4 linked regions of the Schizosaccharomyces pombe genome follow. Changing the gene in region 1 together with any one later gene gives a genetic interaction. Each region holds a gene or a part of one and is shown in the gene's direction. Other genes may lie near its edges.

Region 1 (6,797 bases):
TCTCACGTTCTTCCATGCAATATGTCGTAACTTAGAAGAAGTTCGTAAATCGTTTACTAAATTGAATTTATTTACTTTTTACAAGAAAAACGAGTTGCTCTGTTGTATCGATAAATAAAATAGAGAAATTCACAGGTACTCATAATATAAAATTTCGTTACTGTAGTGTTTGTATAATGATGTATTGTGATAGATTTTTGTCACATAAGATTTTGGTGTGATGTGCCTTATTCCATTCGTTTCTTTATCAACGTACAATCGCGCTATCTTCATATAATAAATCGGCAAATTCCAGTAATAAAAAATAAGGATTTGTGCTAGTAATCACTATTGTACTTTATTTGAAGCCTATTTCTGCCATGAGTCCTTTTGGGGCAGTATAGGTAGGTAAAAAAAGTCAAAGTCCCATCATGCTCTTTGACAAACTCGTACACTTTAAGGGTTGTTAGGAATATATATAATAAATGTTTCTAATTCCCTTCCTCTTAAGTTTTACGTTCTACAGTTTACATTTCTATCCTACGAAGAAAGCAATTAATTATGATTGACATCGGTAGGGACGACGATATAATTATGAAGCTGCACCGATTTTTATTACCAAGGTTCTTCAAATTTTTTAAATAGCCTCTAATATATTATTGAAGAGCTTCATTCTTTCAATACTTTGTTAAGTCTTTTGATGCTTTCCTCTTCAAATCGAAAAATTCAGCGCACGTCGTTAACGAATTTTAATGTCTTCATTAAAATGCACAAATATACGTAAAAATAGTTTAATGTCTTCGGTATCTATCGTTGTAGCGGTTTATGTGTTGCTGCCAATATCCTTATATAGAGTAAACAGTCTTCCTACCATGCGTGTCTGAGTCGTCCACTAATTCAAACAATTACTCATGTTTCTAGGGCGATTGCTATTCATTGAGTAGTTTGAAGAAATTCATTCTTTCCAAATTTACTTTGTTGCTCCATGTTTACTTATTTTCGCCTTTTGCTCGTTTCGTCTATTTTCGTATGCTCATCATTTTTATGTCAGTTGTTACTTTGTCCACGATTTATGGTTGAAGTAAGCTTGCCCGGTCGATTAACGATAATTTATAAAATCAAAAGAATCAGTAGTTCAAACCAATTTGCTCAAGAGCGCTACTGTTCTTGGATCGCCACCTTTCGCTACTTCTTTCTTCTTATATCCGATGTAAGAATCTTCTTGTGGGTAAAAACCAACTTTCAAAGCAAAGAGAAACACATAATTGCCTGTCAAAAACGAATTTTATTAATAAACAGTAATTCACTACTAATTTTGTTTTGCCAAATTTTTCGTTTTCCATCTTACTTTCTCATTCCCTCCAAACTTCTTGTTTAATCAATTCTTCATACACTCTTATCATCGATTGTATAACGTCTTCGAACGCACTACGCTAATGAATTTTTCCTATATACTGAACACGTCAGTTTACTTCCATCGTCCGCAAGTCATCGTTTTCAACGCGAATGGTCTATTCTTTCGTTTCTTGTGATAATTGACTGTTCAATCGGCCTTAGCTTTATACCGAAATTTTATAAATCTATTTATTCAGCTTAAGATTTCATCGTTCAAGTCGATATTCTCTTTGATACCCTCTTTTGTCTTTGTTTGTTCCTTTTTCACACTTGCTGAGGCCATTCCTCACGATATTTAGGAGTTACGCTTTACCTAACAAACCATTTTTTGTCTACCATTTTGACACTCATTTTCTTTGTTCATTTCTTTCGCAACTCACTTCCTTGGCGAAACTGGTGGTTTTCGCCTGTTCTACTCTAGCTAGCTAAGCTCCCTCTCCCTGTGCATTCTTAGCCTACCTCTTTTTACCGATACAACGAATAGCGCTCCGTATATATCAGTTTGCCAGCTTGCGGATCGCCTCGGAATTCAAGTATTAGATATTACCAACTAACTTTGTTTGTTAAGTGAGAATTACGTTCTTATCATTCATTACGGTAGAATCGGGATTTTTATAAGCAGGCCTTTTTTTTTCCTTAATTAACGAGGATCTACCACTGATCACTTTCATACTTCCTCATTCCTTGCGATTTTGACATTTGAGGAATTAAAATTCCTTTTGGGGCTGACTGTTTCGCGGCGATTTTCATTTGCCGCCTAACTCTTTCGCTTCTGACGGACCAGTCTTCTTTTTTTTCCTTTTCTTAATTTTGTTGGTTTTTCGTTCACTTCTCGAACCACAACCTTCCTTAATAAGACGCTTTTTTTATCCGTAAACATTCGTTTTCCCGTTTACTTCTTTCTTTCTTCTTTTTTTTTGGGGTTTCCTTCTACTTATCTTTTGGATCGTTTCCTGATATCTTTAAAGGCAACCGTTTTTATCAGTTGGGGTCTACGTATTTAATTTGGATTACGAATCTTGTGCCTCGTTTCGCCTTAGCCAGTCTTTCTTTGCTAGCGACTTCTTTTTTCGTTCGATCTCATTGTTTCTTTTTATATTCTTTATTTTTTGTTAACCCACTGCTCCTTTAACTTTTAATACTTCTTTTCTCACTACCCTTTTCGTGTCATGGATGAGGAGTTTGAAAATGACTTTCCTTACAAGGTGATGCTTAATCAGCAACAGGATCCTTCTGATGCGCAATCGAGTCCTACATTTGTTCCTTCTGCAAACCCTTCCCTCACCACTCCTTGGTTACAAACCACTCCCTCTGCTAATCGCCCCACATGGCTACCGTTACAGCAGCACATGCATCAGCTTCGACACACTGGTCTTTTACCCGCCGTTGAATCGTCCTTTGTTCATGGCCATCGTCGAAGTGCTAGTGCTGGCGTTGGTATGGGCAATTTTTCCAACCAAGCCACTATTCCTTCTAATTCTCCAGCCGTTTCTAATATGCAACCACCGACTCAAGGCGGTCAACCCTTATACCCTACTAATTTCTTCACCACTTCGGTCTCTGCCTCTTCAGATTCCTTCCCTAACAGTCCGACCGTTCCTTCAAAGTTTAGCTTAAATCCATCAGTTGCTACATCTACGAACATTAGTCCAAGGCGGCATGCAAAAAGCCATAGTGTTGCTTCTGTTTCCTCTCCCAATTCCCATAACGCCGTACCGTTTACTCCCCATGCGTTCGTTCCTCCAGTCAACAACGCATCTCCTTTACCAGCCTTGAACACTTTACCACAATTATTGCGCCCTCGTAATTTGGATGCTCAATGGCGTCCTTCATCACTTTCTCAAACGAATAGTCCTACTCATGCCGCGAATCCATCTTTTCCTGGGACTATTGTAACTCATAATACCTCAAACTTTCGTCCTGAAGGCGGTGGTCATCGTCATCGTCGATCGACTGGCAGCTTAAGTGTTGGCTCCTCTGGCTCTGGTTTTTCTTCGGGAGGTTCAGGTAATCCCCGTAAAAATCTTTTTTCTCCTTATTTACCACAGTCATCGATTCCTGCTCTACTCGCTGAGCGTCGTTTGGTAACGGGTATTTTAATTGTAAGTAAGAAAAATAGATCAGACGCTTTTGTTAGTGTCGATGGTTTGGATGCGGAAGTATTCATATGTGGTTCGAAAGATCGCAATCGTGCCCTTGAGGGTGATGTCGTTGCCATAGAGCTGTTAGACGTTGACGAGGTATGGGCTGGTAAACTTGAAAAGGAAGAGAATCGAAGGCGTAAAGACCCAATTTCTACTAGAGGCTCTTTTGACAACCTTCGAATTGACGCCGTACCGTTTGAGGTTCCTCAGAGGTCTGCTATAAAAGCAAGAGATGATGAACAAGTGGAAGGGCAGACCCTGTTCCTTCTTGACCAAAAGCAGCTTGGTGCGGACGAAAAGCCAAAGTATGCTGGTCATGTCGTAGCAGTCTTGCAGAGGGCGCCAGGCCAGGTATTTTCTGGTACGCTTGGCATACTTCGGCCAAGTAGTGCCGCTAATAAGGAGAGGCAGACCTCGTCGGGTAATCAAGGCTCTTCCAATAACTCGGGAAATGACAAGCCCAAAATCGTATGGTTTAAGCCATCTGATAAACGTGTGCCTTTGATTGCAATTCCTACTGAACAAGCACCCACAGACTTTTTGGGTAACGATCAAGCATATGCTCAACGATTGTTTTTAGCTTCTATAAAGCGTTGGCCTGTAACTTCTCTACATCCTTTTGGTATGTTGGTTGGTGAATTAGGATCTATGGACTCTATGTCTGCTCAAGTATCCGCTTTATTACACGATACGGGTGTTCATAGTGAACCATGGGAAGGATCCGCCGCTACATCCGCCGTAACTGCACTCAATGCTTTATCGGATAATTTTTTAAACGTTGCTGGTTGTGCAGATTATCGATCTGAAGATGTCTTTTTATTTGTTAAAAATGACGTTAGCAAAGCAGCCGTTTCAGAAGTCAAGCAACATGAATCAAACATCAATTCTAGTTCTGCTACTGATTTCGTTTCTTCTGCCTTTCATATTCGACCAACTTCAACTGGTTATCATGTAGGAATCCATGTTACTGACGTTTCTCGTGTTATTGAGCCAGGATCCCCATTAGATCGCGAATTACAGCGAAGAAGTATTGCGGTGAATCTTTGCCAAAAGTCGGTTCCTTTGTTTCCCACTACGTTAGGTGAGGCTTTATCTTTACGAGAAGATAAGGATTGTTATACAATGTCTCTCTTACTGGATGTTTCCTCAACTGGTAAAATTCGTGGCACTTGGATTGGATGGGCTGTCATTCGTCCTCGCAAGGCATATACCATGAAGGAAGCTGATGAGTTGCTTCAAACTGATGCTAGACTTCGTTTATTCCATACCGTAAGCAGTCGCTTACGAACTCATCATCTTGGTACAGACGTGCCACTCAGCCGGTATTGTAGGTTAGTACGTCGATGGGATGAAGAAAGCTGCAGCTTTGATCCCAATGAAACGAATCTTTTTATTTCCTCGGCGGTTGAAGTTTTACGTGAAACTCTTTTGGATGCCGCTAATAGAGCCGTTGCAAGCCACTTGCGTCAGGAATTCCGTGAAAATGCATTCCTTAGGACTCAGCGATTGCCCTCTCGAGAAAACTGTCGCATATTACAAAGTATGGCCATTCAGATGGGATGTGTTTTAGATTTGTCTTCGACAAAATCACTTTTACGCTCTTTAAGTTTGATCGAAGACGATACTGTTCGTAACATTTTGCAGCTTTATTATTATAAGGTTACCCCAAGAGCAGTTTATGAAATGCAGAAGTATAAAGGCAATCTCGCTTCCCAGATGATGAGTCTTGGTATTGAGGACGAAAGTGACGATTTGACACATTTTACAGCACCTTTGGAACGTTATGGTGATATTGTAGTTCATTATCAACTGCAGTTGCTTTTGAGAGGAGAACTGGCTTCTGAAAAGCGCCTTCGTGTATGGTCGCAAGCGGCAAACGATGCAAGCCGTCGTCTGGTTATAAGCAAATTTGCGCAAGAAACTAGCATTCATATAAAAATATTTAGTGACTGGGCGGAGAGTCAGGTTTGGCAAGACGGTCTCGTATGTTTTGTTGCTCCATCATATTTTGACGTATTTTTCCCATCTCTAGGCATGGAGAAACGTGTTCATTTAGATTTGCTCAATCTAACCCACGTAAGGTTTGAAGAGGACCAGGGCATTTTATCTTTATACGACGAGAGCGGAGCCGTTACAGTTGTTAAATTGTTGACCTCTGTCAAAGTTAAGCTCTTTGTGCAGCTTTCGACTCCACCTCTTATCAACGTTTCAAATGTCGAGTTTTGATGTTGAACTTCGATTGTTTGCAATGTTTATTTCATGTATGTGTTTTTTGGTGACACATGTTCATTTTCGGATGCCTGGAATGGCTTTATATTCTCATTCATATTATTGCTCTTATTATTAGGCATTGTTGATAAAAAATATGTTACGATTCTAAAACTGCATTTTTTCCCATTCTTACTTTTCTCTTTAATTTCGACGAAGCTGTTACTTACGTCTAATATTTGTTTCTGGAGATTTACAAGTTTTGCATAGCCAAGGAGCTCGAAAACTCGGTTTAATCTTATACACTAAGATGCCGATTTTTTATGTTATATAACTAAAAGGATGATTAAACTTGATTACGATAGTTCACGATGATAGAGTTGGATGAAGGAATCCAGTAGTCTCGATACGTGATTTTATGAGTGCATGAGTTGATGATACCTTGAACTTTTCCTTTTTTATACATTAGATTGGATTTTGTTTCAAAAATGAAATCCTGCTTTTATATTGATACATGTCACTTTGTTGGCTTACCAGTAGATGAAGTGTCGTTTGCGTTTGCAATCACTGCGGCGATTAGGCAATCAGAAGTGGATTCTTATCGGTCGTTTGGGGTTAGCTGAGTCTTTTATTTTTTGTTTCTTTTTTTAAAATGAATCTACTATTGGACGACATCTTAGCAATTTTCAGTTGATTTTTTGCAATTTAAGTTCATTTCTTACACAAAATATTCAAATTTATAGTTATGAAACGTATCCGGGATGTGTTAGTTACTCATGTCCTATTTTATGATATGAAAACGGCATAAGATATTAAAAAGAAAAGGATTCTACAAATATTCTTAGTGATTACTATTTTTCATTTTTAACGCTGCCTTGTTATATCGGCTTTTGTTTACCAAGTGTATTAACTCGATATCGAGTATATTTTGATGTATACGCATGCTATACTGATTATAAAAAATTATTAATCCACAAAGTCTTAGAAATTATGAGAACTAAATGAAATACTCTTTAAAAATAGAAAAAAAGTTAAAAATATTTATGTTTCAAGTTAAACAACAATGTAAGG
Region 2 (4,448 bases), on another chromosome or scaffold:
CCTCATAATATCCTCCAAAACGGCCTTAATACGCTTCATATTTGGAGCGGCCTTCCTTGGTGGGCTTCAATTGCTGCATGTGCTGTTGCTATGAGAATTGCAGTATTTCCTATTATGTTAAAGATGATGAAAACGTCCGCAAAGCTCGCTATCATTAACCCAAAGGTTGCTGAACACATGAGTGTGTTGAGTAAAGCAAAGGCTGAAGGAAACAGCGAATTAATGATGCAAGCTACCACTCAAATCCAAAACCTTTATAAAGTTAACAATGTTAACCCTTTGAATTTGCTTTCTGCTCCTGTATTTCAGGGAATTCTGTTTATTAGCTTTTTTTACGCGTTGAAGACAATGGCGGGTGTACCTGTAGAGGGTTTCACTGATGGTGGTTTTTGGTGGGTTAATGATTTATCCCAGCCTGATCCTCTACACATATTTCCGGTTGCAAACGGCCTTCTTATGCTGCTCAATATAGAGCTTGGTAGCGAAACTGGAAGTAATAAGGTTGCTATGTCTCCCTCAATGAAAAAATTTTTTAGATTTCTTTGCCTTGCCAGTCCACTATTCACTATGAATTTTCCTATGGCAATTTTTATGTATTGGTTTCCTAGCAATGTCTTCAGTGTATTTCAAGGGGCATTTTTGCGTTCATCCACCATAAGGCATAAACTTGGCTTACCAGAAGTCCCATCTGCTATGCCAGTACCGAACGCTCAAAATGAATCGTTTGTTAAGTCATTTACCGATATTGTCCATGGGGTTCAAGAAAAAGGTAAATACCCACAAGCCTCTGAAATACTAGATGCTACACGTTTCCTTAAAACCGATACAAACAATGAGCAAAAACCTACTAATAATAGTACAATTACCAAAGCTACTACGCTATCTGATAATTCTCAAAATGACAAGTCCTCTTCTGTTACCAAACCCACCGAGAAGAAAGATTAAGCTTTTTTGTGTGCTTTGGAATTCTCTTTCTTAGAAGTGTTCCAATGTCCTATTGAGAGCATAAAAGTTTGTAAGATATGGTTAATTTTTTACATTTGTTGCATTATTCATTTCTTTCCTTTGGCTTTATCCCATAATTTTACATATGTTTTAGTTTTTGCATATATCTTCACACTTGCAACACTCTTTTCTATTTCCTTTACTTCTAATAAAATACCCAAATTTACATTTATTTTGCTTATTCTTTCTAAAAATCGCTTTTGTCTAATTCTTTACTACGGAAAGCGATGAGAAATCAAAGAATATTTACAATAACCTAAAATTTGACGTAGCCGTCTAAACAAAAAATAAAATGATTATTAACTCTTAAAGTGTTTTATGGATATTTATTTTATCAATAAAACTATCGTTATTTCAGTTAGGTAATCATGGAATGTAAGTTTCATCAAATCAACTTAGTTTGCTTCTCTCAAAAATGAGCAAGGCAATATAATTAGGAAGGAATTCAGGTAGTATTTGGGTTCCCTTTCTACAAGTTCATTTCTTATTACTAACACGATTGGTTATTAAGATATGTTTGTCTAAGCGGCGATTGTTTGTAAATTTTTAAATATACAGAAGTAAAGATTATGATGAAATATATCTATATTATAAAAAAAAAAAAAAGTACTTAGAATTGTAAACAGATATGTTTTTTGTTCACATGGTTCATTGAGAAAAGCAATTACGAATTTCTTTGCTTTTCGTTAAACCATTTTCCAAAACCGCCGGGACGATGTAAGTATAACAAACCAGAATCTACCAAAACTTTTTGCAAGAATATCTAGCATTTTACCCAGGCTGTATATAGGCTTGCAAAAGTTACTAATATGACTTCGGGTCCTCATAATTTAGAAGACCCAATAGTTCGAGCAATTCGCCAAAAAAATCAAGCTCCTTCTCATGATTTTACAATATTTGTTCAAGAAGATGGCTCTAGTGTTAGCACACTGGATAGAGTAGTGAAAAGTACGGATATTTTTGAAAGAAATTAGTCTTATTAACAATCAAAGATGTTCAAGCACCAGCAACTTATATTCCGACGGACGTGGAGTTTTTTGATATTAATGAACCTGATAAACCTGACTTGCATTTTCTTCGCAATCATTTCATTCGGGAAGGCCGTTTATCTGAGGAACAAACGTTGTATATTATAAAAAAGGCTACAGAAATTTTGAAGTCAGAAGACAACTTGATTGAGGTGGATGCACCTGTCACTGGTATGTTGATTATCACCTTTCATATTTAGGCCCTAATTACTATAAGGTAAAATATTAGAACTTTGAAATGTAATTTATGACTATGTTTTTCCTTCATTTTAATTTGGGTCGATATTTTGTTTGTATTGCAATATTCTTCGGTCTGACAGCTTAGTATGCGGTGACATTCACGGCCAATATTATGATCTTATGAAACTATTTGAAGTTGGAGGTAATCCAGCAAATACCCAATATCTTTTCCTTGGAGATTACGTGGATCGAGGATATTTCTCAATTGAGTGTTTATTGTACTTGTGGGCTTTGAAAATATGGTATCCGAAAACGCTTTGGTTGCTTCGTGGCAATCACGAATGCGCTCATCTTACTGACTATTTTACCTTCAAGTTAGAATGTACTCATAAGTATAATATTAAAGTTTATGAAGCTTGTTTACAATCTTTTAATGCCCTTCCTTTGGCAGCTATTATGAATAAGCAATTTTTATGTGTACATGGTGGATTATCACCCGAACTACATACTTTGAATGATATACGAATGATCAATCGTTTTTGTGAGCCTCCAACTCATGGGTTGATGTGTGATTTACTCTGGTCTGATCCCCTTGAAGATTTTGGATCGGAAAAATCAAACAAGCATTTTATTCATAATAATGTTCGTGGCTGTTCTTACTTTTATAGTTACCAAGCTGTTTGCACCTTCTTAGAAAACAATAATCTCCTCTCCGTTATTCGTGCTCATGAAGCTCAAGATGTGGGCTATCGAATGTATCGCAAAACTAAAACAACCGGGTTTCCATCTTTGATGACCATATTTTCAGCACCCAACTATTTGGATGTTTACAATAATAAAGCTGCTGTTTTGAAATACGAAAATAATGTAATGAATATAAGACAATTTAATTGTTCCCCTCATCCTTACTGGCTTCCTAACTTTATGGATGTTTTTACTTGGAGTCTTCCATTTGTGGGCGAAAAAGTTTCTGAAATGTTGATTTCAATGCTCAATATATGTTCTAAGGAGGAGCTTTATGAAACGGATTTGAAAGAATCGGCTCCGACTCAGCATAAACAGCCTGCTCCATCTGAGAATGAAAATAAAGCCGACCAAGAAATTGATATTGAAGCTCGTAGGCAAATTATTAAAAACAAGATTATGGCTATTGGCCGTATCTCTCGAGTATTCAGTGTGCTTAGAGAAGAACGGGAAAGTGTTTCGGAACTGAAAAACGTGTCAGGTACGCAAAGATTACCTGCGGGTACTTTAATGTTGGGAGCTGAGGGTATCAAAAATGCTATCAATTCCTTCGATGATGCTCGTAAGCTGGATATCCAAAATGAACGTTTACCGCCATCTAATAGCCGTCGACGTTCTACGGATTTAAAGGCTTTCGAAGAAGTAATGAATTCGTCTGAAGATGATACCTCTATCGATCATTTGGTAGAACGCTTTGCAGATAAGAAAAGCTCTTTGTAGATACCAAAACCTGCGCATATTCGTTTTTTAGTTGGAATTTTTCAATGAGCATAAACCTGATCCGAGGTTTTAAGCATACTTACAACAAATATCTAAACACTCAAAATAAAGAAAGCAAATGAGTTTACTTTAGCATAATACAAGATAACCGATGACTAGATACATAAGCATTGCATTTAGATATTCATAATAAACTTTTTGGTATTCATAACTATGAAACCTTTTATAAAACAAGCAAACAAAAGACGACTACTTTTTGCATAATGAAAGATTGTAAAAAGGGGTATTCGCATGGCACGCTCCACCGTAAAAAAGAATGATAATAAATATAGCAACAGATAATTTAAAATATCTAGCTGACTGTTCTCCGAACTTATACTGCAGTAAAGCTGGCAAATATAAGATCATATCCAGGAAAGTCATACACTATAAATTCTTCACGCTTATAAGAGCTAAAAGATTTAAGTTTGGCCGAGAAATGCTTCTCTTGAGACGCACCTTTAGCCTGGAAAAGGGTAAGACAAAATTTGTTTGCACCAAAAGTTTTAACAGTTTTTTCGATTGTTTCAGATATGGATCTTCCGAATTGGAATTGCGAAACATTTGTTTCAAATGAAGCATAAGAACAATGTTCTTGAGGCGTAACATGGATTGTGGCATAGCGGTCCTTGTAAATCATATTCGACGAGAACCCAATTGGCTCAAATTGAAAAGCATCAAGCACTGCTTTTTTATCAGAGGTACTACATAAGTCTCTAACACCCGATTCAT
Region 3 (4,225 bases), on another chromosome or scaffold:
GTCCTCTCCCTTCCTCCTCTTAACCCTTTACTTGCTCCCAATCCTTTTTATCTTTTGGGTTTCCTGTTTAAACGTTGGGTAAAGTATAAGATTGGATCTTATTTTCATCGTCGTTTTGTTGGATCGTATGAAAAATTTTACCTTGGTTCGTCGCTCAGTCCTTGCTCTGATCGTTTGGTAAAAATCAAAAATCGTTAGACTTGATTTCGTTGACGTTTAGTGCGTTTAATTCTCTTTCTTAGATTTTTTCCTCCATCCTTCATCTCGTCAACAGTTCTCTCTGTTGTCTCTCCACCGCTATACGTAGCTTTTAAAAGTCGTTTGTTTCATTACCTGCGCCCATCTTTTCTTTTCTAAACTTTAACTCAAAGTGAATAAATAGGAAGAACTAGTCTTTTTTCCTTCCATAAAAGAGCACCAGATATATCGTTGAATCGCCGTGCTTTTTCTATTTGCTTCATTTTTTTATCCCGTACGATGCAAAATAGTTAATTTCTTCAACTTTTCTCAACTTTTGTTTCACCACTTCTTTCTCTCAATTGGGTTAGATTTTTCTCCTTTTACATTTTTTTTATACCTCCCTCTTTTTTTTTCTTGTTTCCTTTTCGTTGATATTTTCATATTTTCGGAATTCTCCTTTTCTAGTTATCCTATTTCTCGTTTCATCATTTTCTTTGTCTTTTCTCAAAAAGGTGTACTCTTGGGTTTCTTTCCACAGTGTAGTATCGCTTTTTTTGAACCTTTGAAGAGCTCATATATTCCTTTCCCTTGAGTTTTTCGGATTAAGTTTTGAATTTTTTTCCCATTTTCTTCATTGCTTTACCGTTTGTTTTCACTTCACTTTGGGGTCTTGGTGGTTACTTGTCTATTGTTTTTTTTGTGGGGTTCTGCATTCTGAATAGTTCTGTTTCTTTTTTTCTGAACTCATCTGTCTAAGTATTCACCATTCATTTGGTTTATTTACAGACGTGTGCTCTGTAATTTTCATCCTTAGTTGACCTTACGTTTTTGCTAGTTTGTTGCATCAACGTGCTTTTGGTTCCCCCCTTTAGCTTTGAATACGCTTCTGACTTTTAAATTGGGTTTTCTGTTTTGTAGGAAAATTATTCCATTGTCATTACATTTCAATTAGCCTCTACCTCTTTTCGTTCCTCGATCTCCTACTTGTATACTTTTCTGCACTTTGACAAACTGCAACTTATAATATTTCTTATACCCTCTATCTTATATTTTTGTTCAGTCTGGTTACTGTTTTCGTGCGTGTGCCCTACCTTTTTGCATTTTCTACTAAATACGAAATAATTTCTTAAATAGTGTTGCTTTTTGCAATCTTGCACTGTGCACTCACAAGCAGTATTTTTATTTTCCTCTTAAAATCGCTTGACCTTTGAAGTGACGATTCATTAATCCGTTAATTTTTAAGGATTCCCCCTTTTTATTCTCATATTTGCATAGTACTGATTCAAACCCATTCTTTGAATTGGATACTCCTCATCCCCTCTAAAACTCTTCCATCTTTATTTTCTGCAGAAAGTTTGAATTGAAAAACTTTTTTCATCTCAGACTTGATTTGAATCTTCTCTTGTTTCCTTCTATATTTTACTAATTTTATTGCCAAATTTTGCGTTAATTCTTTCCTTTTTAGAACCCTGGATTTTCCGTAATTTTGATATTTCCTATCCATTCATTATTTTGCTTTCGGCCTTCAAAACTTGTGCTATCCAATATTTGTATTTTATTTAAGAAGTCTGAATTTTTTTTTACTTTTTTACTTTTTTTTTTAATCATCTCTGCTTCTTTTTTAAGGCCAAATATTCTTAATACAAAACATTCATCTAAAAAACCACGATGAATTTTTCAAACGGTTCAAAATCGTCTACTTTTACAATTGCTCCTTCGGGTTCATGTATTGCTTTACCTCCTCAGCGGGGTGTAGCAACGAGTAAGTATGCTGTTCATGCTTCTTGCCTCCAAGAATATCTCGACAAGGAAGCTTGGAAGGATGACACATTGATCATCGACCTTCGTCCCGTATCCGAGTTTTCCAAATCTAGAATTAAGGGCTCCGTCAATCTTTCTTTACCTGCAACCTTAATTAAGCGTCCTGCCTTTTCGGTCGCGCGTATCATCAGCAATCTTCACGACGTCGACGACAAGAGAGATTTTCAAAACTGGCAAGAGTTTTCATCCATTCTTGTTTGTGTTCCTGCTTGGATTGCTAACTACGTAACGAACGCTGAGGTAATTGGTGAAAAATTTAGAAAAGAATCCTATTCTGGTGACTTCGGTATTTTAGATTTAGACTATTCGAAAGTCTCGGGCAAGTATCCATCTGTGATTGACAACTCTCCTGTAAAAAGTAAATTAGGTGCTTTGCCTAGCGCTCGCCCCAGATTGTCTTACTCTGCTGCTCAAACTGCTCCTATCTCTTTGTCCAGCGAAGGCTCCGATTACTTCTCTCGTCCTCCTCCCACTCCTAATGTTGCCGGTTTGTCTTTAAATAACTTTTTCTGTCCTCTACCTGAGAACAAGGACAACAAATCTTCTCCATTTGGCAGTGCTACAGTCCAGACACCCTGCTTACACAGTGTGCCCGATGCTTTTACCAATCCAGATGTTGCGACCCTCTACCAGAAGTTCTTGCGCCTGCAATCATTGGAGCATCAACGTCTAGTTTCTTGTTCGGATCGTAATTCTCAGTGGAGTACCGTTGATTCATTGAGTAATACATCGTATAAGAAAAACAGATATACCGACATTGTTCCTTACAATTGTACTCGTGTGCATTTGAAAAGAACTAGCCCTTCAGAGCTCGATTATATCAATGCTTCCTTTATCAAAACTGAAACTTCAAATTACATCGCTTGCCAAGGTTCTATTTCTCGTTCTATTAGCGATTTCTGGCACATGGTATGGGACAATGTGGAGAATATAGGCACTATTGTTATGCTTGGTTCATTGTTCGAGGCTGGCCGCGAAATGTGTACTGCATATTGGCCAAGTAATGGTATTGGAGATAAACAAGTGTATGGAGATTACTGTGTCAAACAAATTTCGGAGGAAAATGTCGATAATTCTCGATTCATTTTGCGAAAGTTTGAAATTCAGAATGCCAATTTTCCTTCAGTTAAAAAAGTACATCACTATCAATATCCTAATTGGTCTGATTGTAATTCTCCTGAAAACGTGAAATCTATGGTTGAGTTCTTAAAATATGTGAACAACTCTCACGGATCAGGAAATACTATTGTGCACTGCTCTGCCGGTGTTGGTCGGACAGGAACCTTTATTGTACTAGATACGATCCTACGCTTCCCAGAAAGCAAACTTTCTGGTTTCAATCCTTCTGTCGCCGATTCTTCAGACGTCGTTTTCCAGTTGGTTGATCATATCCGAAAGCAGCGGATGAAGATGGTTCAAACCTTCACACAATTTAAATATGTGTATGACTTGATCGATTCTTTGCAAAAATCTCAAGTTCATTTCCCGGTTTTAACATGAAATTTTTGACTGGATTTTTCTTGGCAATATATATTCGTGTTTTAATCGATTCCTTTATTTCTTGTACTTGTAAAGTGTCTTTTTTTTTACATTTGCATTTGAATTTACTGTCAATGTTTGTGAAATTCAGTTGCTTTAATCACGTTGTCTTTTATTTCAAAAAGTATATTTGAGAACTAGGCTTTTTAATGATATCTTTTTTTCTCTTAAATTTTCTTTTTAGAACTTTGTAAACCTATTTTTTGTACAAGATAAAGTCATCAAACTGATAATAACCTTGTATTATTTTCAGATGCTTTTTAAAATTTATTACTCGATTTCTTTAGGCAGAAATATAGAGTTTAAGCGAAGTGGTCGTGATCAAGAGCAATAGAATTCTTTCTTCACTGATTAAAGGTGAGACGATTCATTAAATATACATTCATTTGAACTATCGTTTGTATGTTTTTAAGTAAGACAAACTTGCAGGAACAAAGATTTTTTATAATACACATTAAACGTAACTCAATATAAATAAATTATTATGGCAATCATTAGGATGCAGATATTCCAATAGTACCTAGAATGCTTTTATATTCACTTTGTCTTTATGCGGTTCATAAGCTGACTCCATTTTTGTAAAGCCATCATATGGTCCTCGTCTAAAACGGCCAAGTTAACTTTAGTTTCAGCAAGCTGCTTTTCTTTTCTAAAGATTTCATCTTCGAGAGACTGACTTTCAACC
Region 4 (6,124 bases), 1.2 Mb from region 1:
CTTATGGTGTCGAAATCGTTGCCTTTGTTTCCAGTGTAGGCAAAATAGCCATTCCATTGCACGAAACCGCTTCTTCCGCCATATTGGACCCAGAGGATGATACATTTGAATCTCCTATAACCGCTGAATATCTGAAATTCCTCAATAAAATTACGAGAGAGGAAGTCGATAAAACCACTGTTCGTTGTCCTCATGCTGCGACGGCCGCCAAGATGGCTGAACGTATTACTCGAGCTCGTGATAACCACGATTCCATCGGTGGTACTGTAACCTGTGTGATCCGTAATGTTCCCACCGGTCTTGGTGAACCATGTTTTGACAAACTTGAGGCCAAGCTTGCTCATGCCATGATGAGTATTCCTGCCACCAAGTCTTTTGAAATTGGCTCAGGCCGTGAAGGCTGCAAAGTTGCTGGATCCAAGCATAACGATCTTTTTTACCGAAATGCTGATACTGGCAAGCTTGGTACCTTGACCAATAACAGTGGAGGTGTCCAAGGTGGTATTTCCAATGGCGAAAACGTTTACTTCACCATTGGCTTTAAGTCTCCTGCTACCATCGGCGTAGAACAGTCAACTAGCCGTTACGATGGTAGTGACGGTGTTCTTGCTGCCAAGGGTCGTCATGATCCCTGTGTTGTTCCCCGTGCCATTCCCATCGTTGAAGCCATGGCTGCTCTTGTCGTTATGGATGCTGTCATGATTCAACAAAGTCGTATTGCCTCTCGAAACCTACTCCCCAATGCTCAATAAATTAAAAAAAGTTAAAAATAAGCTAGTTTGGGGGCAAGAATCTCACTTCAATTGAGTTAGCCTACTGGATTATCTTATTTTGATGCGCCAAAAAGAGAGGATTAGATATACCTTTTGTCTCTTAGATTACATATGTACATTTTTTTTGGAGGGTAAATTTAACACAAATTAAGGCATATTTAACAGATACTTGTCAATATAGTGTGTAAGATTATAAATGAATATTTTTAAAAAAAGTAAAAAATTTAATACACAAGAAAAACTAAAGAAGTGTTGCAAAGAGTATAAGACCTTCTCTTCAACTAGCAATTGATGTTTGTTTGTATGCAGATTTTTTTCATGTTTATTACACAGACACCTGCGGTACACAATCTAAATTGGTGACCAAATATAGCTTTTGCCATTCTCTTTTAATCTTGCCATTGATTTTTCTCTCATCTAAGTATTCATACTTACACACTGTGTATGCAATTATGATATATTATACCGGCAGTTTGGTCATGTTGCAAAAAATTTTTTTTGCTAATGCCGTTTATCGGCACATCGTCTATGCTTGTAGATGAAGTAAAGGATTATTATTATGTAAAAAAAAAAATCTTTGGATTTATGGGTTTTACTATCAACGTTTCCATACTTGTGAGAAAAAGTGGTAGTTGTTTTAAAGTAATATTTTGAATAATCGAAATTTGTTATAGAATATTTCTGATGTTCCACACATTTTACGTACCAAAAAACCTCTGTAAGAAAATAGTATTCTATTATGAAGCCTTCTTCTCAGGCGTACTTCTCGTTAGTCCCACCTATGATGAAATAGCAACCATCCCGTCTACTATCTGGAAAAGGAGGATTACGTATAGTAGTGTAATACGGAATAGTGAAAGGTACTTCGCAAAAATGATCATTCCAAAAGTGCTCATCGTCATCCCTCACCAGGTGTCGTGCTACGGTATAGATGTACCTAACCTTTTCCAACCACCAGTATAACGTAGGCTTGATTTTAAACAAGATATTAATCAATTTTGGAGATTGAGGACTACTAAAAATCTACAAGTCTTAAAGAAGAAATAAATTTCAGAGTCATTTAGCTTGGTAGCTTTACGACTATAGCCCCGCCGAAATACGAGTTGCCTAGTCCCCGATAGAGGAAAAGCTCGATTAGTAAATCCGGTAATTCATGTACTTATTGACTATTGAAGCTATTTAAGAGGACTCGAGGAACACTTCCTGATGGGATCAGTGAATAATGAAGAAAAAACTTTAATTGAGCCACAACGTCTTTTACGGAAAAATACTTGGCATCCAGAGGTAGACGATAGCGAAGTTCCTCCTTCTGTCTTTCCTGAATATCCCGTCCACAAGGCCATCCAGAAAACGTCCGATTCATTTCGTAAACGGAACTACAGCGCGGGAGATTATGTAATAGCCCCGTTGGGCGGAGAACGTGAAGGAAGTTCGTTAACTCACTCATGGACTTTTCAACCTGGTAAGCATAACCAGCGTCTTTATTCTGATAATTTTCAAGAGGCTCAGCGCCAGTGGAAGCGCCTGCAAGAATGGGGCGAGGTGAAGGAAACAAAAAAGATAAGAAAGCGGTTTGATCGGTTTTCGGGTCGTAAATACATTAACCACTATGAGATTATAAAAGAACTAGGACGTGGTATGCACGGTAAAGTCAAGCTTGGCCGTGATACCGTTACCCGCGAACTGTTGGCGATCAAGATCATCCCGAAGACGGAACGTCGTCCGAAACTGGGCCGAGCCAATGCTTCCAGTCAAAAGGAAAAAGTTCGTCGCGAAATTGCCATCTTAAAGAAATGTGTCCATCCTAATGTCGTCCGCTTGCGCGAGGTCATTGACGATCCATCCTCAACGAAGGTGTATCTTGTTTTAGAGTACATGAGTGGTGGGGAAGTGCCATGGACAGATTGTGACTCCCCCGTACTCTCGATTAGCGAGGCAAGACAATACTTTCGCGATGTTGTCTTGGGTCTAGAGTATTTACATTACCAAGGCATTATTCATCGAGATATTAAACCCGCCAACCTTCTCCTTAACTCTTCTAATTGTGTCAAAATATCTGATTTTGGTGTTTCGTACATTGCCAACGCTGGCCTGAATGAAGACAACGACGTTGAGCTTGCAAAAACTGTCGGCACTCCTGCTTTTTTCGCCCCTGAATTGTGCTGGACCGATTTGGATCGCCCAAGGCCTAAGATTTCTGAAGCAATAGACGTATGGGCTTTAGGCGTTACTTTGTTTTGCCTTTTGTTTGGTCGTTGTCCATTTAATGCTAGCATGGAGTATGAGCTTTTTGACAAAATCGTCAATGAGCGTCTGAACATCCCTTCTACACCCGACATTGGTGAAGAGGGTCGAGATTTGCTTAAAAGATTATTATGCAAAGATCCTGAACAACGTATAACACTTGTAGAAGTAAAACTTCACCCATGGACATTGGATGGCTTGAAGGATCCTGAAAAATGGTTGCAAAACACTGATCCCAGTACCGTCAGTCGTGTTGAGGTTTCTACAGACGAAGTTGCTTCTGCAATCAGCCTTGTGGGTCGTCTTCGCAGAAAACTTGGTAAGCTGTTTCGTTTCCGCCGTCCAAAAGCGCGAGTGTTTGATTCTTCCTCCTCTGTTCCTTCCGACTCTTCCATTTGTCGGCCTGAGAGCTCTGGTAATTCTTCAATTGGTTTATCCGCGTCCGAGTTGTCCGATTCTTTTAATCGGCTTGCGGTGAATGAGTCTCAGAAGGATCGTGAAAGAAAGCAAGTACATCCTGTCGAAATGGGTCGTAATAGTTCTGAGAAAAAGCCTAGATGTGACTTTGGCTGGGACTATGAGGCATTTCCCAATGACAATCAAGATGCTGATGATGCTTGCAGCTATAATACCGGCGACTCTATTCCACAAGTCTCCAAATCCATTAACGGTCATTTCGAAACGTATAGTCGCACGTCGATGGATACGGATGATGTAGCCTCTTTCGAATCTCCAAATGCGAAGCATGAGGAAAGTGGAATGCCTGTCGTTACTTTTCGTAATTATGAGAATTATGATGCTAATCCGTCCAATTTTCATCCAGTGGTTCCTGGTTTTGTATCATCACCTAACCTTCATTTAGCCGGGGGCTCTGACACACCTATCTACTGCATTGAGCATTCCTTCACACCAACTAATTGAGTGCTGTATGAACATTTCCCAATTTTATTCAATTGTTTTTTTTTTGCAATGTAGGTTGCATGTGTCTTTTAATTACTCATTTCTTATTCTTGGCTTTTTACCTAGTGTTCAATAACACTTTGTCATTCGTTTTCATCAAATCATGTCATTCGGACCTTTTAGATTTTTATTTGTCCTATATGTTTGCCCCATCTCAAGAGAAGCCTTTTTTTTTCCTTTTTCTAAATAAGACGCTTAGGTTCCAAGTCTTTTGGAAAAAAGGTGACTTTATTGATGATTCTTGCGCATTCCACTCGTTTTACTCGTTTATTTTAAAATGTTTTATTATCTAATGTGCCTTTTGTTTACCTCGTATATCGTGATTTTTTTTCCTATGAGCAAAAAAAATTTACTGATTAGACGTTGAAACTGGTTTTTTTGATGAATTCTTCTTATTCCTGGCATAGGAAATAAATATCATTTTATTATTTTTTTATGACCTAGTTTGTAATTTCTTCTATGTGCTGTTGTGATACAAATCTATTGAATATAGGTGAAGTGGGGCAACTTTTGTATGGTGTGATTTAGAAGACAGACAGCAATATTGCTACCATTTGAGAAATTTTATCTTCTAAAGCCTACAAATTGGACGTATGAAGAATTTTTATAAACTAATATTTTGTAAGGGAAAATCTTCATTTTCCTCGTTTGGACTTATTCGTGAAGCAGATGATGCTTCGTCTTCGAACCACAGATGATCTCCGTATGAAATACAGAGTTCCTCATTTGTTTTTATCTCTCGTAATGTGTAATATGAGATGTAGTTATTGCGATTGTCTTTTTTCCAATACACGTTTGGATGACGGTCGTGATTGAACATACTTCCAAGTCCTAGAGCTAATCCTTGTTTGCCTTCGCTCCAAACATATGTGTATTCGTTAAGAACTGTATACTGTCCATGTTGTTCATATTCTTCTTTGCTGAACATCAATACAGGACTAATCTCAATGCATGTTTGTGCTGGAATAGGCTCAAGAGCAAATACTCCTCGGCCTTTTCGTTCTGTATCACGAATCTAAAGCGTTAGTAAACTTATAATTAGACACAATCGTTCAGTCTGTCGACTGATTTTACTAAAGAAAAGAAAAGAATGTGAAATGTTTTCTTTTATATAAATGATTATGAATCATGCTGTGAATCGTTGATCCGTAACATTACCCTTTCGATTATACAACAACAACAATCTTCGACATTTGCTTTTTCTACTGTCTGACTCAACTCATAGCAAAATTCACACAAATAAATATAAATGAATCGAAACACAAAAAAGTTAATTTAAAGTGACTTTTAACTTTCTTCTATCTTCTAGCTATCCTACAATACCTTACCTCAAGCGGACTACGAATAACAGGAATCCGCATTACAAAATCAATTTGACAACTGTCTTAATGATCGGTGTGCTTCACTTCTTACACCTTTTGTGAATTACTTAATTTTAGATGTTTCGTGTCTTTATAGATGAGCCAGGGAGTTGATTTCTTTGGGCTCACGTTTGATGTCTTTCTTTTTTCATATATTAAATTAGTAATTTCTAATAGAAATAAACCAAACAAGGAACTTATTTCACATATACGAATGGCAAAAATAGTTAGTAAGTTAATAGGAAAAAATTTATTTTTCCCAAATAAGGCAGCTATAAGACTCCTTAAACCTATTGTGGTGATACTTCGGGTCATGGTACGTTGCTATATTCACTTTAGTAGATAAAAGGTTATAGTGCGCTATGTTTTTCTATCGAACATTTTGCTGCATAAACAGTCGCAAGTTACCGTTTTCCATTTAGTGTATGGAGGATGCTTTTTGAGGTATTGGCGATCTGTAGTTAAATTGGCATTTGAACAGGTTGGAAAGTGCGTAGGAATAGTTATACTGTTAGCGTTGAAGTGCCCAATTCCTTACGAAAAAAGTTTCGCACGATTTATGTGGAATCGATTTGTGGCATATTTAGTAAGTTTATTCTTCAAAAATATAATATAAGCTACAAAACAAGTTATCTTTTCCTTAATTATTGCATATGCGATTGCGATCATTTACGATGCTTTAAGTTGCGAGTGGAATGGAAAGTATCGCAGATCATTTCTTTCTCGCAGGTCTCTCTAACGGATTTGTGAGTGTATCCAATTCTCAATTTCGAGCAGATAGACTTG

Evidence for each region.
Region 2: mutations in sts5 (region 1) and ppb1 are lethal when combined (synthetic lethality), as found in Schizosaccharomyces pombe (2 studies listed by BioGRID).
Region 3: of sts5 (region 1) and pyp1, extra expression of one rescues a mutant of the other (dosage rescue), as found in Schizosaccharomyces pombe (2 studies listed by BioGRID).
Region 4: of sts5 (region 1) and ssp1, a mutation in one rescues a mutant of the other (synthetic rescue), as found in Schizosaccharomyces pombe (2 studies listed by BioGRID, with this or other methods).

What each region holds. Positions count from the first base shown.
Region 1 is NC_003421.2:677,819-684,615, forward strand, and holds sts5 (Dis3L2-like 3'-5'-exoribonuclease), read left to right. Parts: upstream 1-2,016; 5' UTR 2,017-2,543; coding exon 2,544-5,744; 3' UTR 5,745-6,265; downstream 6,266-6,797. UniProt on the Schizosaccharomyces pombe protein: Required for the maintenance of cell shape during interphase. Required for localization of cortical actin to the growing tips before mitosis.
Region 2 is NC_003423.3:2,872,183-2,876,630, forward strand, and holds ppb1 (calcium-dependent serine/threonine protein phosphatase calcineurin catalytic subunit Ppb1), read left to right. Parts: upstream 1-1,739; 5' UTR 1,740-1,814; coding exon 1,815-1,953; exon of another isoform or gene 1,954-1,997; coding exon 1,998-2,204; exon of another isoform or gene 2,205-2,358; coding exon 2,359-3,677; 3' UTR 3,678-3,927; downstream 3,928-4,448. Other genes in the region: oxa102 (translocase Oxa101), read left to right, coding at 1-945; S-adenosylmethionine decarboxylase proenzyme Spe2, read right to left, coding at 4,051-4,448. UniProt on the Schizosaccharomyces pombe protein: Calcium-dependent, calmodulin-stimulated protein phosphatase. This subunit may have a role in the calmodulin activation of calcineurin. Appears to be involved in cytokinesis, mating, transport, nuclear and spindle pole body positioning, and cell shape.
Region 3 is NC_003424.3:5,159,664-5,163,888, forward strand, and holds pyp1 (protein tyrosine phosphatase Pyp1), read left to right. Parts: upstream 1-1,848; coding exon 1,849-3,501; 3' UTR 3,502-3,697; downstream 3,698-4,225. Other genes in the region: GTPase-activating protein Gyp51, read right to left, coding at 4,078-4,225. UniProt on the Schizosaccharomyces pombe protein: Plays a role in inhibiting the onset of mitosis. Dephosphorylates sty1/spc1 and wis1/spc2/sty2.
Region 4 is NC_003421.2:1,876,735-1,882,858, forward strand, and holds ssp1 (calcium/calmodulin-dependent (CaMKK) protein kinase Ssp1), read left to right. Parts: upstream 1-1,712; 5' UTR 1,713-1,979; coding exon 1,980-3,938; 3' UTR 3,939-4,581; coding exon of another isoform or gene 4,582-4,992; 3' UTR 4,993-5,305; coding exon of another isoform or gene 5,306-5,338; 3' UTR 5,339-5,576; downstream 5,577-6,124. Other genes in the region: aro2 (chorismate synthase), read left to right, coding at 1-752; histone lysine methyltransferase Set7, read right to left, coding at 4,582-4,992, 5,306-5,338; SPOM_SPCC297.05 (diacylglycerol-binding protein), read left to right, coding at 6,034-6,124. UniProt on the Schizosaccharomyces pombe protein: Involved in actin localization and thus in polarized cell growth.